Xenopus tropicalis: one gene and its partners. The protein of the gene in region 1 binds, or shares a complex with, the protein of each later gene. Links are inferred from orthologs where the notes say so. Each region holds a gene or a part of one and is shown on either strand. Other genes may lie near its edges.

What was found. The genes of interacting proteins can lie anywhere in the genome.
Region 2: the proteins of cwc27 (region 1) and cwc22 are in contact, whole or in part, in a crystal structure (PDB 6YVH), measured with the Homo sapiens proteins. The link is inferred for Xenopus tropicalis from reciprocal best matches to the Homo sapiens genes CWC27 and CWC22. Residues at the interface, in NP_005860.2 of Homo sapiens: Arg381, Glu382, Asp383, Gln384, Thr385, Leu386, Leu388, Leu389, Phe392, Lys393, Lys395, Leu396, Thr397, Ile400, Glu412, Asp415, Asp416, Glu417, Gly418, Trp419, Met420, Ser421, His422, Val423, Leu424, Gln425, Phe426; in NP_001362958.1 of Homo sapiens: Leu239, Arg242, Lys243, Tyr245, Arg246, Asn248, Asp249, Lys250, His270, Glu271, Val272, Leu275, Glu276, Thr279, Leu280, Leu281, Glu283, Arg284, Thr286, Asp288, Ser289, Val292, Val307, Ser308, Pro309, Arg310, Gly311, Thr367, Met369, Leu372.
Region 3: cwc27 (region 1) and scnm1 share a complex: the UniProt entries of both Homo sapiens proteins name them as parts of the minor spliceosome. The link is inferred for Xenopus tropicalis from reciprocal best matches to the Homo sapiens genes CWC27 and SCNM1.

The regions. Positions count from the first base shown.
Region 1 is NC_030677.2:188,218,101-188,223,651, forward strand, and holds part of cwc27 (spliceosome-associated protein CWC27 homolog), read right to left. Parts: intron 4,021-5,551; coding exon 3,877-4,020; intron 3,338-3,876; coding exon 3,239-3,337; intron 1,489-3,238; coding exon 1,382-1,488; intron 81-1,381; coding exon 11-80; intron 1-10. UniProt on the Homo sapiens protein: As part of the spliceosome, plays a role in pre-mRNA splicing. Probable inactive PPIase with no peptidyl-prolyl cis-trans isomerase activity. As a component of the minor spliceosome, involved in the splicing of U12-type introns in pre-mRNAs.
Region 2 is NC_030685.2:63,083,366-63,089,454, reverse strand, and holds the start of cwc22 (pre-mRNA-splicing factor CWC22 homolog), read right to left. Parts: upstream 4,232-6,089; 5' UTR 4,011-4,231; coding exon 3,984-4,010; intron 1,131-3,983; coding exon 1,066-1,130; intron 1-1,065. UniProt on the Homo sapiens protein: Required for pre-mRNA splicing as component of the spliceosome. As a component of the minor spliceosome, involved in the splicing of U12-type introns in pre-mRNAs. Promotes exon-junction complex (EJC) assembly.
Region 3 is NC_030684.2:137,908,405-137,914,671, reverse strand, and holds the start of scnm1 (sodium channel modifier 1), read right to left. Parts: upstream 4,232-6,267; 5' UTR 4,137-4,231; coding exon 4,086-4,136; intron 3,240-4,085; coding exon 3,169-3,239; intron 3,046-3,168; coding exon 2,957-3,045; intron 2,400-2,956; coding exon 2,302-2,399; intron 1,415-2,301; coding exon 1,317-1,414; intron 1,179-1,316; coding exon 1,042-1,178; intron 818-1,041; coding exon 685-817; intron 114-684; coding exon 14-113; 3' UTR 1-13. Other genes in the region: lysmd1 (lysM and putative peptidoglycan-binding domain-containing protein 1), read left to right, coding at 4,647-4,817. UniProt on the Homo sapiens protein: As a component of the minor spliceosome, involved in the splicing of U12-type introns in pre-mRNAs. Plays a role in the regulation of primary cilia length and Hedgehog signaling.

The DNA.
Region 1 (5,551 bases):
TAAAATGTACCTTGCTGACTTCATTAACCTCTTCCTCATCCTCTTCAGCTTCTTCACCAAAAGAAAGCAAATTAAAATTCCTACAAGGAAAAAAAGGCAGAAGCAAACTAGTTATAAATAGAATTATTTAACTTCTCTTGAACACAAACTATGAGGGCACTGGCTGTTTCTGCATGCTCTCATTTACAGTGCCATTATAGCTATGAGGCAAGATGAGAACTTTGCCTGAGGTGGCATTTCCCAGGGCTGGCAATAAGCAGCAGTATTTTAATTTTTCATGTATGCAGAAAATTGTTTCTTTTAGTTATTTAGACATGCAGAAAACTGCAATTGTGCTCTCTGCGCTAGCTATGTGGTATGGATAACAGGTCCCATCTCCGTATAACATTTTCCTACCAGGGGCACATTTTCAAAGGTTGAGGTGAGAGATTCATGTTTAATAAGGCTAACATGAGATAAATGACCATTCACTTATAAATGATTTGTCTATTAATGTTGCGTGATTTGACTTTTTATAATACAACGAATTTGAATTGCTCGGAAATTTCATCTTTCTAGCTCAGATCTATCAAGTAAATGGATATTTTAAACGTAATCAAACAAAACCCATTTGATATTGTGTTCAGTACTTTCTCCCTCGTATAATTTTTGCTTCCAATTTTATCTTGTATCACTTGTGAAACCAAACTGTGTAACTTCTAATAATGTTTACTTCAGGCTGACTTTCTCGTTTAGGCTAGTGCCACATGGGCAGATTCTTGGCCTGCGAATAAGCACATGGTGAGAATCTGCCCCTTTGCTTCAAAAATATGCCTGCTCCAAAAGCATTGTTTCATTCCGGGTGCAGGCAGGTGCAGCGTATTTCAGCCTGAAACTGCATTCTCGAGCGGCACCCACTGAAATAGGATGCGCGTATGTGTGCGCCCAGGCCGATGCAGTGCTTTCAAGTGCAGGCACAACTTGAAGAATTTTAAAGTGGCAGAGCGAAGAGAATATGCTCCGTGTGGCACTAGCCTTACGCTGATACTACATGGATCTGATTCTCGACCTGCAAAAAAATGCAGGCCGAGAGTCAATCCCTCCGCTGGCATCAGCCTCCTATCTTGCCCACAGCAGAAAGCATTGTGTTCACCCAGGTGCAGGCACACACAGCACATATCGGCAAAAACGAAAAAAAGAGAAAAATCACATTTTGAACCAATATCCCATACATGTACCTGCACCCAGGCGGACACAACGCTTCTGGGTGCTGGCAAGGTAGGAGACTGGTGCCAGTGGTGGGGCTGATAAAAGATAAAAGTTGTGATCCAGAATCACTGATAAGGAAAAAAACAATGACATCTCCACGGCACACAAAAGGATAAACAGATGATATACTGACTTTGTTCCTTTTGCTTTGGTCTTCTTTGCCTCCTCTTCTTCTTCCTTTTCTTTTTTTGACTTTTTAATTATTCTTGGAACTATGTCATCAAAAGGATTAAACAGCACCTAAGAGTAAAAAAAGTAACATTCATTGGAACTGAGAAATAGGATATAAAATCCATCTATATGAGAAAAGTCACCTTCCAGTGTAATGAGTCGCAAATGTTTTTCAATTTAAGAAAGAGGCTAAGTTTGAAAAATATCATTCATGACACATCTGCTCCCCAGAACTAATGGCTCATACATCAATTTTTATAGGAATGGAAATGATTAGTGTCAAGAATACACTGACAGCATCGCATTGCTAAAGAGTAGGAAACACTAAGAGGGACAAATAACACTAAGAAGCACAAATAAACTTACTTCCACTAAAAATCACAAATGTCTAGTCATTTATTAAAAGATCCGGATTAAAAAAAAAAAAACACAAACAATTAAAATGGGGGATGAAACACGAAAACCACCATTTTTCGTGCTATTTATGTTTTCATGCAAATCTTTGTCAAACCCCCCCCCCCCCCCAAAAAAAATCTAAAGCCACGAATTATGACTTGTTACAGTTTGCCTAGAACAACTACCATTGACTTCCACATGACCTCAACAGGTTTTAGATTATGTATTTTAAAATTTGTATCGTTTGAGGTTTTGATGCCATAACAAATTGCAAAATATTTGCTTTTTTTACACGAAAAAGAAGAAATATGAATGTTAGTAAATGGCCCCTTAAATATATGCAGCATACAAGGAGATGATTATTACATATCACTAAATTACTAGATAGTTGGATGAATGGTGACTTGTTATCAAGATTAGGCAGCAATTGCTGTGACCTTTAATTACTAGATAATAAATATCATGACCCTTTCATAGAGAAATAAGTTCTCCCACCAGAGGGGCGATCTAATAGAGCCCACACTCTGGCTGGGGGTAACAATACTATTAACCTGGTTAATGAGTCCTCGAATACTACATCTAACACATGCACAGAGTGATCGAGCTAGGGGGCCTGTGCTCATTGCATGCATGAATGTGCCCCAGCATGGCTGCTTGCACCATAAAACTCCCTCCCAACGTGGTTGTAATAGGGCTTACAAGGAGCATTTCCTTGCAAAATTAGAGTACAGGCGTGGGATCAGTCATCCCGAAACCCGTTATTCAGAAAGTTCCGAATTACAGGAAGGCCATCTCCCATAGACTCCATAAGATAATTATTCAAATTTTTTAAAATGATTAATTTTTTCTCTGTAATAATAAAACATTACCTTGTACTTGATCCCAACTAAAATATAATTAATCCTTATTGGAGGCAAAACAATCCTATTGGGTTTATTTAATGTTTAAATATTTTTTTTCAGTAGATTCAAGGTATGGAGACCCAAATTAATGAAAGACCCCTTATCTGGAAAACCCCCAGGTCTCCAGCATTCTAGATAACAGGCCCCATACCTGTACTGTATTTCTGTGATGCCCATTAAATACCTTTACTCTATGAAGGCAGAAATTCAAGATTTGGACAAAAGCAGTCTGCAGGCAGCAGAAGGACACCAGAAGGAGCAGAACATATATTCATATTTTCTACACAACAGGATGGCACAAGAAGGCAAATACTGATGAAAATAAAGCAGGTACATCAATATGAAAAAGAAAAACACACACTTAAAGGGAACCTGTCACCCTAAGAAATAATTCCAAATCATTTTCTCTCATGTTAATTGATGAGCAAAATAAACTTTACTGAACTTTCATGTTGCTTACATGCTTCCCTGAAAAAGTCATTTTTCCATTGCAAACGTAAAAAAAAAAATATTAAACGCACCTCTGTGGTTTTTATCTTGTGTGGGTTGACAGGTCTCTCATCCTCTCCAATATCAACCTCTGCTAGTCTCAGTATATTATATATGGTGTCGCCAGTCACCTGTAAAGACGCAATTTAGTTTTATATTCAGAAAGCTTCAGCTGGGATTCGGTTGGCATGTGTTGCTCTGAGATAAGTCAGGAGAGCGAATACTAAGGTGAAAACAAAATGATAAAAGCAGGACTGTGAAGTCATACCAAGGACGCACAATCCATAATATCACCAATAGTGTTCCTAAAGCAATGTTTCAGCTCATCTATAATTGAACCTAATAAAGGAACAGCTACTGGGCAACTGAACTGATGTACAGAGTTAAACGATGATTTATTGGAAAAAAAAAATTAAAATAGGAAAGAAATCAAGGGTAACAATGAATCTGAGCCATAAAAAGACAGAAAGAAATAGTACAGGACTTTCTTCCATCATGTGGAAATTTTCTGAATAATCCGAACTGGAACTAAGAAGCTCAATGATTAGTTAATTGCATTATAGAAGCATTCTTGAAAAAAAGGGAGAGGGAGACAGAAGAGGCTTTCATCTGGCATCTGGATATAATTGCTCGTTTTAAGAGAATTCTTCCTCAATGGGCATCATCTAACCTTTCCAAGGATGGTATGCTTGTTATTAAGCTCATCGGCACGGCCAAGAGTAAAGAAAAATTGGCTTCCATTATCATGAGGTCCAGCGTTTGCCATAGCAACCAATCCTCGGCGATTAAATCGGAGACGTGAATGGAATTCATCCTGGAAAGTAAAAATGAAATCAATAAGGACAAAAAACAAAAAATTAAGAATGCTTCATAAAGACAGAAAAAACTTTACAAACACAAAGCAAAAAACAATTAAATAGATAAGTGATATACAGGAAATGTAAAATGAGGGAACATACCATCGAGGTTTAAGCGTATACATTAGGGATGCACCGAATGCAGGATTCGGTTTGGGATTCGGCCTTTTTTGGCAGGATTTTGCCGAATCCATGCTCCTGGCTGAACCGAATCCGAATCTTTAAAATCATGTGACTTTTTGTCATGTAAACATGGAAGTTGAAAATTTTTCACCACATGCTGCATTTAACCCTTCCGAATGTAATTAGCATATGCTAATTAGGATTTGGCCGAATCCGAAAAAGTGGATTCAGTACATCCCTAGTATAAATGTGTATTTAATAATAATAATAATAATAATAATAATAAATGACCACACAACTTAAAATAAGTCACATCTGTACATATCTTTTTGTACTACTGAAACACTGAAGTTGCCCTTGAAATAGTTAAGGTGACCCCAATGTCAATGTTAATTTAGGAAAATGTAATTTCTATTTATCCTTTTTTTTTTTTTAACTCTTTTATTTTCAAGTTTTTATAAATTTTAGATGATATCTTATGAGTACAAAAAACAGTGTCCCATATTGGCCAATTACTTTAATATATAAACTTTCTCATTCTTCAGAGAAATTGTCTAAGGAGAAGGAATTCAAGGAAGCCAAAACACCATTCCCAGAAACCCTTCATTTTTAAATATATATAACTCTTCCTTATCTGTAAGCCTGAGACACAGTGGCACACGTCGGGGCAAAGGTGGAGCTCCTTTATACTGAGCTCCCTATTTCTGTTTAAATATACTCTTTACAGCGAAGCATTGTAGGTGTAAAAGAAAGCAGCAATCCATTTATTATTGATTAATACATATTTTCGCTCATGTAAAACAAAGGAGCATATAGACCAGGGGTGGGCAAACTAAGGCCCGCGGGCCACATCCGGCCCCTTTGCCTTTTTAATCCGGCCCGCCGCCGACGCCAAGTCTCATCACGCGAGACTTGGTGTCATTGGCGTGCCGGAATTAAACAGAGAAGGGGGCCCGCCCTGGCCCGGTCGGGCCCGGGGGTGAGTAAATGTGGCCCGAGAGCCAAAAAGTGTGCCCACCCCTGATATAGACTCAAACACAAATCAGTGGCCACAAGTACTAATGATCATTATAAAATGACCAGTTCTGATCAATCCTTAATTATTGCAATGGATCTGCTAATTACCCTGAAAAATCACTCTGTTATAGTGGATTTAATCAATATTGTTATTGATTGATTCCAGTTGAAAAACTATCATTTTTAATGCAGAAAGAATGCAAAGCAAAAGACTGAGAAAACTTCTTAAAGCAACGAATTCCTTAAAGCCAGAGTGTACCATATTTTTTTTACACTGTGAATAGTGTTTGGGCTAAACATACTTTCCCCCTATTCTTTTAATTAAGAAATATCACATTCTATTTCCTG
Region 2 (6,089 bases), on another chromosome or scaffold:
TATACCAAGTATGGAAGTTTTAATTAAAAAAAAAAAAAAAAGTTTGTGTTTCATGATTAATTAAGTACTTTTATAATATAGATTTTTATGTGTGGGTGACAAATATCCTTTAAAGGAATGCAAGTTTATGGGCAACTTGCTGAATAAGCACAAATAATTTTCTGCATTACTACAGTTAAAAGGGGCAATAATTATGTTCCTCTGAGTCTTTTTGCATATGTGATGTGTGTCATACGCCATGTGTGCCAATAGGATTAAGGCACGACCCTGAGTTTTAGGCTTTGTGGCCCTGTAGAGTCAAAAGATTATCATTTGTAAATATCCCATACATGTCTGCATTGGTTCATATTAGGGCTGGGCGATATACCGTTTAATACCGAATACCGGTGTTTTTTTTTAAAAACTATATTTATTTTTCAGATACCGCAATACCGGGGTGTCAGGGTACTCACCCGTGCGGCCTGGTCTCGAGCGCCTCCTTGCGTGCGTGCGCACGTACATGTCAAAGCGTGCACGTCCGTGACGCGCTGACGGCGCCGGTTCTGCGCATGCGTGGGGGGTATTTAAAGCTATCAAGCGCCTCCTCCTGTGCCATGTTGTCTGCGGCCTTGCCTGGGAAACTAAGCCTGCCTGATTTACCTTACGACTTTCTGTTGCCGATCCTTCGCTTGCCTGACTCTGATTTTAAATACTGCAGTAATTATTCTCTAATTTATTAGGAAATGGGGTTAACGCCTAATCATGCATGGAAAAAAAAATACCGTCAAATACCGTGACACCGATATAATTTTGAAAAATACCGTGATATAAATTTTTGGTCATACCGCCCAGCTCTAGTTCATATATGTAAAACGGATGTTTTTGCTTAGAATTTGCACTTTTAATTTAAAAGATATTTAATGTATGATGAAATCCAAATACACTAGAGGCCCAAGTTGCTTCATAATTTAAAAAAGGTTCCTACTGCTTATTTTAGAAACAATATTTGAGTTCACCAACACCATACGTTCAATTTCAGTTGTAAATTGAGTAGCAAAAGTAGTTACAAGCACTTTGCATTCTTACCTGTCCTCTGATGAGGAACTTCTTTCAGAAGAGCTACGAGTATCTACTTTGTCATAATTAGCACCCTGAAAAATTCAGAAAGAATATTACATTCGAAATACAAGCACAACAAACTAGTCCCTTATAAACAAGAGCTATGAACAGTCCCAATGCAGGAAGGCCAGAAATGATACATTGTACATTGTTGATACATTGTACTTAAACTTGTCATGAAATGTGGAAAACAATACAGGTATAGGATTCATAATTTAAAAACCCATTATCCGGATAGCATTGAATTAGGGGAATGGCCGGTTTTAATGAAATAATTTAAATTTTTAAAAATGATTCCCTTTTTCTCTGTAATAATAAAACAGTACTTTGTACTTGATTCCACCTAAGATATAATTACCCCTTATTGGAGGCAAAACAATCCTATTGCGTTTATTTAACATTTAAATGATTATTAGCATACAAAAAATAAGTAAACCTTTTTTTTCCCCCTCTCTCTCTAAATAAGACTCTATACAGCCCCAGTATAACATCCCTTTCTTTCTGCACTCAGTCCGATGCAGATTCTGTATCACAAGAAGCTCAACCTAAGATTAGGAAGTATCTGAGAGAGCTGAGGTTGAGCTGTTTGTGATACAGAGTCTGCAACAGACAAAGTCATTTTAGGGGCTTTTAAGATAAAAGGCTTACTTCCCCTTTAAGGGTATGGAGATCCAAATTACAGAAATATCCTTTATCAAGAAAACCCCAGATCCTGAGCATTCTGGATAAAAGGGTCCCATACCTGTACATCAGATGTTGTTCTGCTGCAACCACCAAATTCAAGGGGTATCTCTGTGCATATAACTTGTGTCTGCCCTTCTGTCTATTGCTCAGGGAGTAGAAGAGAATCCCTTCACATGCACAGCCAAGCCACTAGTCTGTCCCAAAGCCTGCCAACTAGTTATAAACTTCTACTCTTTTTGTGAGCTATAGATTGCTTCTTTCTATCTCGGGTCTTCATCTACAGAATCCCTACACTCTCCAATAGTGGCCCTGCTCTTCAATACCTGTATATTTTATATTACGTCAAGATTCTAAATACATATATCTGTTTGTGACCGATGTATTTGCCATTTTTATTCCAGAAAATGGCAGATAACCTGACCAGAGTTATCTCCAGCCAAAAAGTATCATTTTTTGCACTAAGAAAATGCAATAACAGGCAACATTGAAGCATAAATGTATCATTTTCATGGGTTTTATCATTAAAACGTTATTTGGAAAGGAAGCAAGAAGCAAGTTTTTTACCTCTTTCTGTTTTCTGACTCTTATAACAATTTGTCAGGTCTCCTTCAGTTCTGTAAATCAGGTGGCTTGCAACATTGTTTTGGGAGTCAGAGCCAGGAGTGAATAGGATGCACCAGCCAAACAGTTACTGATTTTAATAGCAAATACATTTACATAAAAACAGTAACATCACTGACACATTTTAATGAATGTATATTGGAACGTTGCTTAGTATTACATTTGAATACTGTGCTTGCCTGGTGCCTCTTGTAAAAGCTGCAGGCTGCTGTTGTATGACAAACTTCCCTGTGTAAACAAACTCATAATAAATAATCTCTAACACAAGGCCCAGCAGTTTTTGAAACCAGAATCTGCTGCTGCTGCTGGCAGGTGTAACTCAACAAAAGCTGGCAAGTCACATAGAACATCCTGCTCTGACTTAAAGGCCCTTAAATTAACTCCCAAGATGAAGTATACAATGAAAGTGATACACATTGTTGATTTTCTGTGGTTTCAGAGTCATTTAGCCTTTACTAGGGATGCCAGTATTTTGGGATTCGGCAGCCTACAGCAGTGTGAAGACTATAGTGACATCACTAAAATCTCTCTCCCCTTCCTGTAGGTGCCAGCGGCAGCCTTCCTATTCTCTGAGCATGTGTGTAACTTGATCCTGTCTCCTGTTCTGAGCTACACATGCCCACCAGCCAATCAGAAGTGGATCTGCCGGGGGGGGGGAGGGAATGAAACACATGTGCAGTATGATGCAAGGAGGGAAAGGAAGGGGAAATAGGGATGGCTGCCTGTTCTAGAAAATATGAGTAAGTGTAACCAAGTAAATATTTGATTAGGTGAGCCAAAAGTGTGGCGTTTTTACTAAACAATAGGACTACTGGGCAGTATGCTTTTTAAATTTTGACTTGCATTCTCCTTTAATGTCAATCAGAGGCATAATGTATGGTGTGTCAGGAGGCACTGCCTGCATCAGGACCCGCTCTGCAAGCGCTAGATTTATGCAGAGAGAAGAAACCCTGGGGAGTAAGTGCTCTGTAAAGGGACTTACTTGGGTAATAAATAAAATGTTTCCCCGTTTATGCATGGGTAGTTTGGTTCCCTCCCACACTCCAAGAACATACAGCAGGTTAACGGGGTCTCGATAAAATTATTAGGCATGAATTGATAGGGACCTTAGATTGTAAGCTTCTCTGGGGCAGTGACTAATGTGAATACTGCATTATATGTCAAGCGCAGAGGAATGCCTGTGCTATATAAGTAAATAATACATTAATGGCATGGGGCACTGTGGGCAGAAAAAAAACATGGAGCTTTGACCCCCCCCCCCTCTGTCTTTTTTTTTATACAATTTTTCCACCTTTATTAACTGTAGAGACGTCAACCAGTTCCCTGTCATAAGGAAGATAATGATCCTCTGGGAATTTAGTTCCGGCATAGTTTGGACTAAATATCCCGAACTCAAATGTTATGACCCTCAAGGCATTGGGCTGAGTGCCCCACATAAGTTGCTGAACTATAGCTCCCTTGATCCTCAGCGTTAGAGGTTACTGCAAGTTGTAATTTTCCATTCGCTATAGGATCTCAAGCTGAAAGTCCAGGATAAAGCCACTCTGTAACCATAAGGTAAATGTAAGCAGAAAACTTACTTTGACTTGGGCCACGCTACTCTTCATGATACCAAGCTGCCCCCTCCAAAGCTTCTCGGGGAGATCGGAAAATGTAAAGACTTAGAATAAACAACCGCTTGTTGGTCACCGCCACCCAAATCAAATTACATAAAGAACAATCCCGCTTATTGGATTAAACGCACAGTGTTCTATTTACAATACCGCTCACACTGCACGACATAATACACTTCCGGTTTCCCAGCATTCTCTATTCTAGCCAGCGCACAGTGATATGTACGGGAGCCGAGACAGGACAAACGGGACTAAGAGTCGCAAGGAGAAGCTAAAATAGCAGCGTTGGCTGTAATAAGCGGTGTAGCTATATTGCAGTCCTTTACATTTAATCATTTACACAAATAGGCCCTTCTTCCTAGGTACCAGTGTATTTAAAATTAAAGGGACTTTAAACCGCTAAATATTTTTTGTTTAATAAGAGAAAGCTCTTTCCAATACCCATTGTTAAAAAATAAGTGGTAACTGCAGTATTTTCATGTCCATTCTTTGTTGAGTTTCTATTTTACTTGGTGCAGGAAATTCCCTGGGGTGAGGGCCCTGCTAAATAGTAGTCTGATTACTGACGGCAGCCTGTCACCAAGGAACGGACACTTTCCACATCATACACACTTTTTTTTTAGGGCTTCTGTAACATGATGTGAAACACACACGGGTACATTTATCAAAGTACGATTGCTTCCGAATAGTTTTTGTACTGCGCGTATTTTTTGCGACTTTTTCGTACTTTGCAACAATTTGTGCCACAAAATCGTATTTGTCGTAACGAGTACGAAAGTTTCGGATTCATTCAAGCTTCGGTATCATGACTTTCCTTGGGCCAGGTTGGAGCTGCAGAGTGCCATTAAGCCCTATGGGAGACTTTCCTTGGGCCGGGTTGGAGCTGCAGAGTGCCATTGAGCCCTATGGGAGACTTTCCTTGGGCCGGGTTGGAGCTGCAGAGTGCCATTGAGCCCTATGGGAGACTTTCCTTGGGCCGGGTTGGAGCTGCAGAGTGCCATTGAGCCCTATGGGAGACTTTCCTTGGGCCAGGTTGGAGCTGCAGAGTGCCATTGAGCCCTATGGGAGACTTTCCTTGGGCCAGGTTGGAGCTGCAGAGTGCCATTGAGCCCTATGGGAGGCTTTCCTTAGGCCAGGTTGGAGCTGCAGAGTGCCATTGAGCCCTATGGGAGGCTTTCCTTGGGCCAGGTTGGAGCTGCAGAGTGCCATTGAGTCCTATGAGAGGCTTCCAAAATCATGCACAGAAGGATCAAAGCCATTTACAATCATTCGGATATGAAAATTTAGTCACTTTCGGATCGCCGATACAATATTATCGTGACTAATACGATTTTTTCGTAAGCATTTTCGTGACATTTCCGATCATGAGAAATTATTGTATCTAATCTGAATTATACCCATTTCGAGATTTGAACTCATGCTTTGATGAATCAGCCCCATAGGGGCACATTTATCGAAGCACGATGACCACGATTGCAAAAAAATTTGTATTGTTGTAAAGTTTAGAACTTTTTGTAATGACCACGAAAATATCGGTACAATTACGCGACTTATTCGGGTTTTGCATAAATTTTTATGCAAAAGTCATATTTTTCGCAATGATTACAAACATTTCGGAATTCATTCAAGCTTGGGTATCGTGACTTTCTTTTGGCCAAGTTGGAGCTGCAGAGTGCCATTGAGTCCTATGGAAGTTTTCCGAATCATGCACTGAAGTTTCAAAGTCAGAAAGGTTTACGCGCCATTTACGATCGTTTGGATACGAAAATTGAATAACTTTTGGTTCGCAACCACAATATTTTCGTACGAACACAATACAAATTTTCACACAATTTACACCCATCAGAAATTTTTCCAATCATACTTATAACAATCAAAAATTTGTATATATACAGGACCAGCCTTAGGCCAATTGGGCCTAATAGGGCCCCGCACCGGGGGGAATAGGAAAAGCTGTCCCGTTCTCCCCCAACAACAATTGCCTGATAATAAAGCTATGGGTTCTGGGTCATAAAACACAAAGTAGGCACTGTATTCATACTGCTATCCCAGATAATGTACTTTCACTGTGTA
Region 3 (6,267 bases), on another chromosome or scaffold:
GAGAACCCACCAATCAGGAGGGGGGCAAGGGTGGAGGTTCCTCCTCATCAGAGTCAAATTCGACATTCTCATCCTTTACCCACTTGCCAGTGCCGTCAGGTAGCCACCCAGAGCTGTGGGGAAGAGACACTGTTACACAGCAAATAATTCCCTCTGCCATTTAACATTTTATTCTTGAACCAACAAATGTATTTGTAGCTGTAATATTGGTGTGTAGGCGCCATCTCAGTGCACTGTGCCTGAGTCTGAGCTTTCAGCCAGCGCTACACATTAGAACTGCTTTCAGCTAACCTATTGTTTCTCCTACTCCCATGTAACTGGGGGAGTCCCAAGCCGGACTTGGATTTCTTACTATTGAGTGCTATTCTGATACCTACTGGGAGCTGCTATCTTGCTCCCTTCCCATTGTTCTGCTGATCGGCTGCTGGGGGTGAGGGAAGGGGGGGATATCACTCCAACTTGCAGCGCAGCAGTAAAGTGTGCCTGAGTCTGAGCTTTCAGAAGGAGCCAGCGCTACACATTAGAACTGCTTTCAGCTAACCTATTGTTTCTCCTACTCCCATGTAACTGGAGGAGTCCCAAGCCGGACTTGGATTTCTTACTATTGAGTGCTATTCTGATACCTACTGGGAGCTGCTATGTTGCCCCAACAGGGGTTAGCAATCCCAGCAAGGTAACTCCTACCTCTTCAGTCGCAGGTAGTGCTCCATAGTCCTCTCCCTCTCTGGGTCTGGAATTTCCTTCTTGACTTTCTCCTCGCCCTTCTTCTTGTGCTGACTGCCGTGCTTTTCTGCCGGGACCTCCTGCTTGGGAATCTCTGGATAGGGGAACGAAGAGAGGCTGAGAATGAATGAGTGCAATTCACAGTAATGCTGGGAGTTGTAGTTTGGCTACATTAGGAGCACAGGTTTGCCCTATATACAGATCAGATTTACTTGTGTATACAGTAGCAGCCTGGCTAAGATTGGTATTGGCTCCCTATAAATAAAGTGTCCAGTTGTCATCTTAATCTCCCAGAATCCTCTCTGGCGAATGGCTCACCTGTAGGGCTGCTGCAGTGTCCACTAGGGGGAGAATGTAGGGAGGCATCAGATGCACTGGGCCCAGACTGGGGATGGTTTAAGCCTGTGGGTAGGCTGGAATGGCAATCATAGACTTTCCTGCTATTGGCTACTGATCTGCAAATGAGAAACAGCAGAGAAATATAATTGTCGATAATATGGTTTGGCCATAAGAACAGAGAAATCCGGGGGCCATTAGCAATGGGTCATTATTATATCAATCATTCACATAATGCTCAGCCCCAACTGATTTACTTGTGAGAGCAGCAGCTGTTGTACGGGGCAGATTTCAGCAGAGCATGCTGGGTAATCTTCCTTGTCTGGACCAGCAAAGGGGCGGGACCTGGTGGACGCTGGCAGATATGAGAGCAAATAAAAAAAAGTTACTCAAAACTATGGCAGCATAGGGATTCCCCTGTACTAAGCACAATTCAGCAGGAACAGCCCCCTAAGTTTGCTCATAGCCTGTACAGAGAGATACCATAAAACTATGGCACATAGGGATTCCCCTGTACTAAGCACAATTCAGCAGGAACAGCCCCCTAAGTTTGCTCATAGCCTGTACAGAGAGATACCATAAAACTATGGCACATAGGGATTCTCCTGTACTAAGCACAATTCAGCAGGAACAGCCCCCTAAGTTTGCTCATAGCCTGTACAGAGAGATACCATAAAACTATGGCAGCATAGGGATTCCCCTGTACTAAGCACAATTCAGCAGGAACAGCCCCCTAAGTTTGCTCATAGCCTGTACAGAGAGATACCATAAAACTATGGCACATAGGGATTCCCCTGTACTAAGCACAATTCAGCAGGAACAGCCCATTAAGTTTGCTCATAGCCTGTACAGAGAGATACCATAAAACTATGGCACATAGGGATTCCCCTGTACTAAGCACAATTCAGCAGGAACAGCCCCCTAAGTTTGCTCATAGCCTGTACAGAGAGATACCATAAAACTATGGCACATAGGGATTCCCCTGTACTAAGCACAATTCAGCAGGAACAGCCCCCTAAGTTTGCTCATAGCCTGTACAGAGAGATACCATAAAACTATGGCACATAGGGATTCCCCTGTACTAAGCGCAATTCAGCAGGAACAACCCCCTAAGTTTGCTCATAGCCTGTACAGAGAGATACCATAAAACTATGGCACATAGGGATTCCCCTGTACTAAGCACAATTCAGCAGGAACAGCCCCCTAATAGCCAATAGCCTGGAGAAAGAGAAATCTGCCCACCTGTTCTCCTGCATCTTCTGCCTGTACAAAATCAAAATGGCGCCTCTTCTGGATCTCATTGTTATGCTCCAGCTTCTTGCCGTAATACCGCTGCTGACCTGTAGGAGAGTTGAGAGGGAGTCAGCGGCCCATTGCACAAATATGTATTATAGACATGTGACCAGTCATTAAAGGGGATGTTCACCTTTGAGTTAACTTTTAGTATGATATAGAGAATATTCTAAGACAATCTGCAATTGGTCTTCATTTTTTATTATTTGCAGTTTTCCGCAGCTATGTGGTTGCTAGGGTTCAAACTACCTTAGCAACCAGGCAGCAGAATGAATGAGAAACTGGTATATGAACAGAAGAGGGCCTGTATAGAAAGATAATGGGGGAGGAGACAGAATAAAACCTGGTATTGGGGCAGAGACCAGTAGCTACAGGCTCCACATTAAAATGGCATACAGGAAATGAAGTCATAACAGGAAGTTAAGTCACAAAGTCAGACAGGAAGTTATAAATACAAAAATAAATAATTAATAAATCAACAGGGGAACATCCCTAGGCAAGTCTTCGGATCCGCAAATGCCAGACAGGACGTTATGTCAGAAATCTGGAGAGGAAATGAAGTCATAAGACAGGAAATGGATCTCTTTTCTAGTCAGTAACTTACCGGCTAAGTGCTTCTTCCCGCTTCTGTGCACAGACAACATATCGATGGTACTGAAGACGGGCCGGTGATGGCACACGGTGCAAGCGTAGCTGTTATATACACAACACAGTTACACAGAGGGATAGGCAGGGGCCCCGGAATATAAGGGTATATAGAAGCAAGCCCTCCCAGGGGCCCACACCGAGGGAACCAATCAGTGGAGAGACCCTTACCTGCCATTTTTAAGAAGCAAAGCCTCATCCTCCGGGATGTAACTGGCCAGCAGATCCGCCACTCGCCTCTTCTGTAGGGAGACAGGAAATGGGATATTAAATTAACCCTTCCCCCTTACAACTGCACCCTACTCTGCCACAGGCACCCTACCCACACCCCAAACCAAAACCACAGACACCTTACCCTTCCCCACCCACAGGCACCCTACTCTTCCTTACCCCCACCCACAGGCACCCTACTCTTCCTTACCCCCACCCACAGGCACCCTACTCTTCCTTACCCCCACCCACACGCACCCTACCCTTCCCTACCCCCACGCGCCCTACCCTTCCCTACCCCCACCCCCAGGCACCCTACCCTTCCCTACCCCCACCCCCAGGCACCCTACCCTTCCCTACCCCCACCCCCAGGCACCCTACTCTTCCTTACCCCCACCCACAGGCACCCTACTCTTCCTTACCCCCACCCACAGGCACCCTACTCTTCCTTACCCCCACGCGCCCTACCCTTCCCTACCCCCACGCGCCCTACCCTTCCCTACCCCCACGCGCCCTACCCTTCCCTACCCCCACCCCCAGGCACCCTACCCTTCCTTACCCCCACCCCCAGGCACCCTACTCTTCCTTACCCCCACCCACAGGCACCCTACCCTTCCCTACCCCCACGCGCCCTACCCTTCCCTACCCCCACCCCCAGGCACCCTACTCTTCCTTACCCCCACCCCCAGGCACCCTACTCTTCCTTACCCCCACCCACAGGCACCCTACCCCACCCACCCACAGACACCCTACCCTTCCCCCCACCCCCAGGCACCCTACCTTTCCCTACCCCACCCTTCCCCCCACCTCTAGACACCATACCCTACCCTTCCCCCCCCAGACACCCTCCCCTCCCCTGTATGGGTATCACCCCGTACCTTTAGAACGTTCAGCTGGCTCAGATCATCCCCATCCCGTTTAAACGACATAGCCCAGCCTGTAGCGCCCCCTTTGAGAGCTGTAACCCTGCGCGGCCACCGTACTCCTTTCTGCGGCCTTACGGGAAATGTAGTTTATTTCCGGAGAGGAGGAGGCGGAGTCCGGGCATTATGGGACTTGTAGTTCCGTGAGAGCCGCGAATCCTGGGGCAGAGCCTGTGCTGCACTACTGCTCCCGGCATGCCTTGCTCCTGTCACCCCTGCCCAGCAGTGAGCTGTGTATTATTGGGTACTTGCCTGTGCTGGGCAGCTGGAAGGGCTGTGGGTCTGTGCTGGGGGTATTGGGGCAGCTTTTAGCCCAGCCCAACCCCCTTGGGCAAACCCCTGTCAGTGCTGTCATGTGATACTAATGAATTCTCCCTTTTTCTTTCAGTCTGATTGAATTAGTAGCCCAGCATGTGACTGAGGGCTGCAGGGACTCCATCTCTGCCTCCACTTCTGCCTCCACCTCTGCCCAGTCAGACAATGTATAGTTAACTTGCCCTTTAGAGCTCACAAGCCATGGCATCCAACTCTGGGCACAGAGACTCTGGGCTTCTCCATGGAACCAGGACCCGTTCCTATGGCAGCCTAGTCCAGTCGCCCTATTCACCGGCCCGGATCCGCAAACTGGAGCACCAGGTCCAGCCCGGGGACACACTGCAGGGCTTGGCACTCAGATACGGCGTCACGGTGAGTACGGTACCTTCCTATTATAGGGTGTAGGGTGCTGGGAGTTGCAGTTTAGCAACAGCTGGAGACCCCTTGTGTATAACTGGTAATATCTAACAGCTGTTAGTCTCATATGCCCTTTGTACAGTTCTCTACTCCCCCCCCCAGGGGACATGCCTTACCTGCCCCACCCTAGAACCAACCCCCCAGGATGTTATCAGGAAGGCATTGGGTTCAGATACAGCCGGTGGGCCTGATAAACATGAAGGGAAATGAAAATATGGTGAATTTGGTGCACGACACTGTCAGGGCACATTCAGTCCTTATACAAAGTCTCCATTCTCTGGGTATCCGGGATCAGGCTGCATCCTGGTTCTCTTCCTATCTCTCTAACCGCTCCTTCTCTGTCGCTCTTACTAACCAATCCCCTACCCCGGTTCTGCTTAGTGTGGGGGCTCAGCTCAGTGTGGGGGTTCAGCTCAGTGTGGGGCCCTTTGCTTGGCCCTTTGCTGTTCTCCCTGTACACTCTCTCTTTAGGAGACCTTATTTCTTCTTTTGGTCTTAAATATCACTTCTCCTCCTTTCACCATGACTATTGATGGCATGACCGTTAACCCTGTTAATTCTGCACGCTGCCTTGGGGTTATCTGCCATTTTTCCTCTGCAATATTGCCAAGATACGCCCCTTTCTTTCACAAGTAACAGCTAAAACACTAATCCATGCCCTTATCCTTTCTCGCTTAGATTACTGCAATCTCCTACTAACCAGCCTCCCAGACTCCCACCTCTCTTCCCTACAATCTGTCTTCAAAGAGGGAAGCTCTGCCGGGTACATGGGTAGAGTCATTAGCAGTGGGCAAGGCTGGCAGGGTACTGGGTACATGGGCAGAGGGATTAGCAGTGGGTAAGGCTGGCAGGGTACTGGGTACATGGGCAGAGGGATTAGCAGTGGGTAAGGCTGGCAGGGTACTGGGTACATGGGCAGAGGGATTAGTAGTGGGTAAGGTTGGCAGGGTACATGGGCAGAGGGATTAGCAGTGGGTAAGGCTGGCAGGGTACTGGGTACATGGGCAGAGGGATTAGCAGTGGGTAAGGCTGGCAGGGTACATGGGTAGAGGGATTAGCAGTGGGTAAGGCTGGCAGGGTACTGGGTACATGGGCAGAGGGATTAGCAGTGGGTAAGGCTGGCAGGGTACATGGGCAGAGGGATTAGCAGTGGGTAAGGCTGGCAGGGTACTGGGTACATGGGCAGGGGGATTAGCAGTGGGTAAGGCTGGCAGGGTACTGGGTACATCCCCAGCTAAGCTAAGGGCAGCCTTGCTGAGTGACCCCTCCTGGGGAAGTTGCAGGGAAACTAGACGCACCCTGCGCAGCCGACAGTCGGCCGGGATGTGGCCAGAGATTGAGAAATCCCTCTTTCCGAGCCACCACTTCCCCTTTACACAACTGCACTGCAGGAAATTCCCACGAA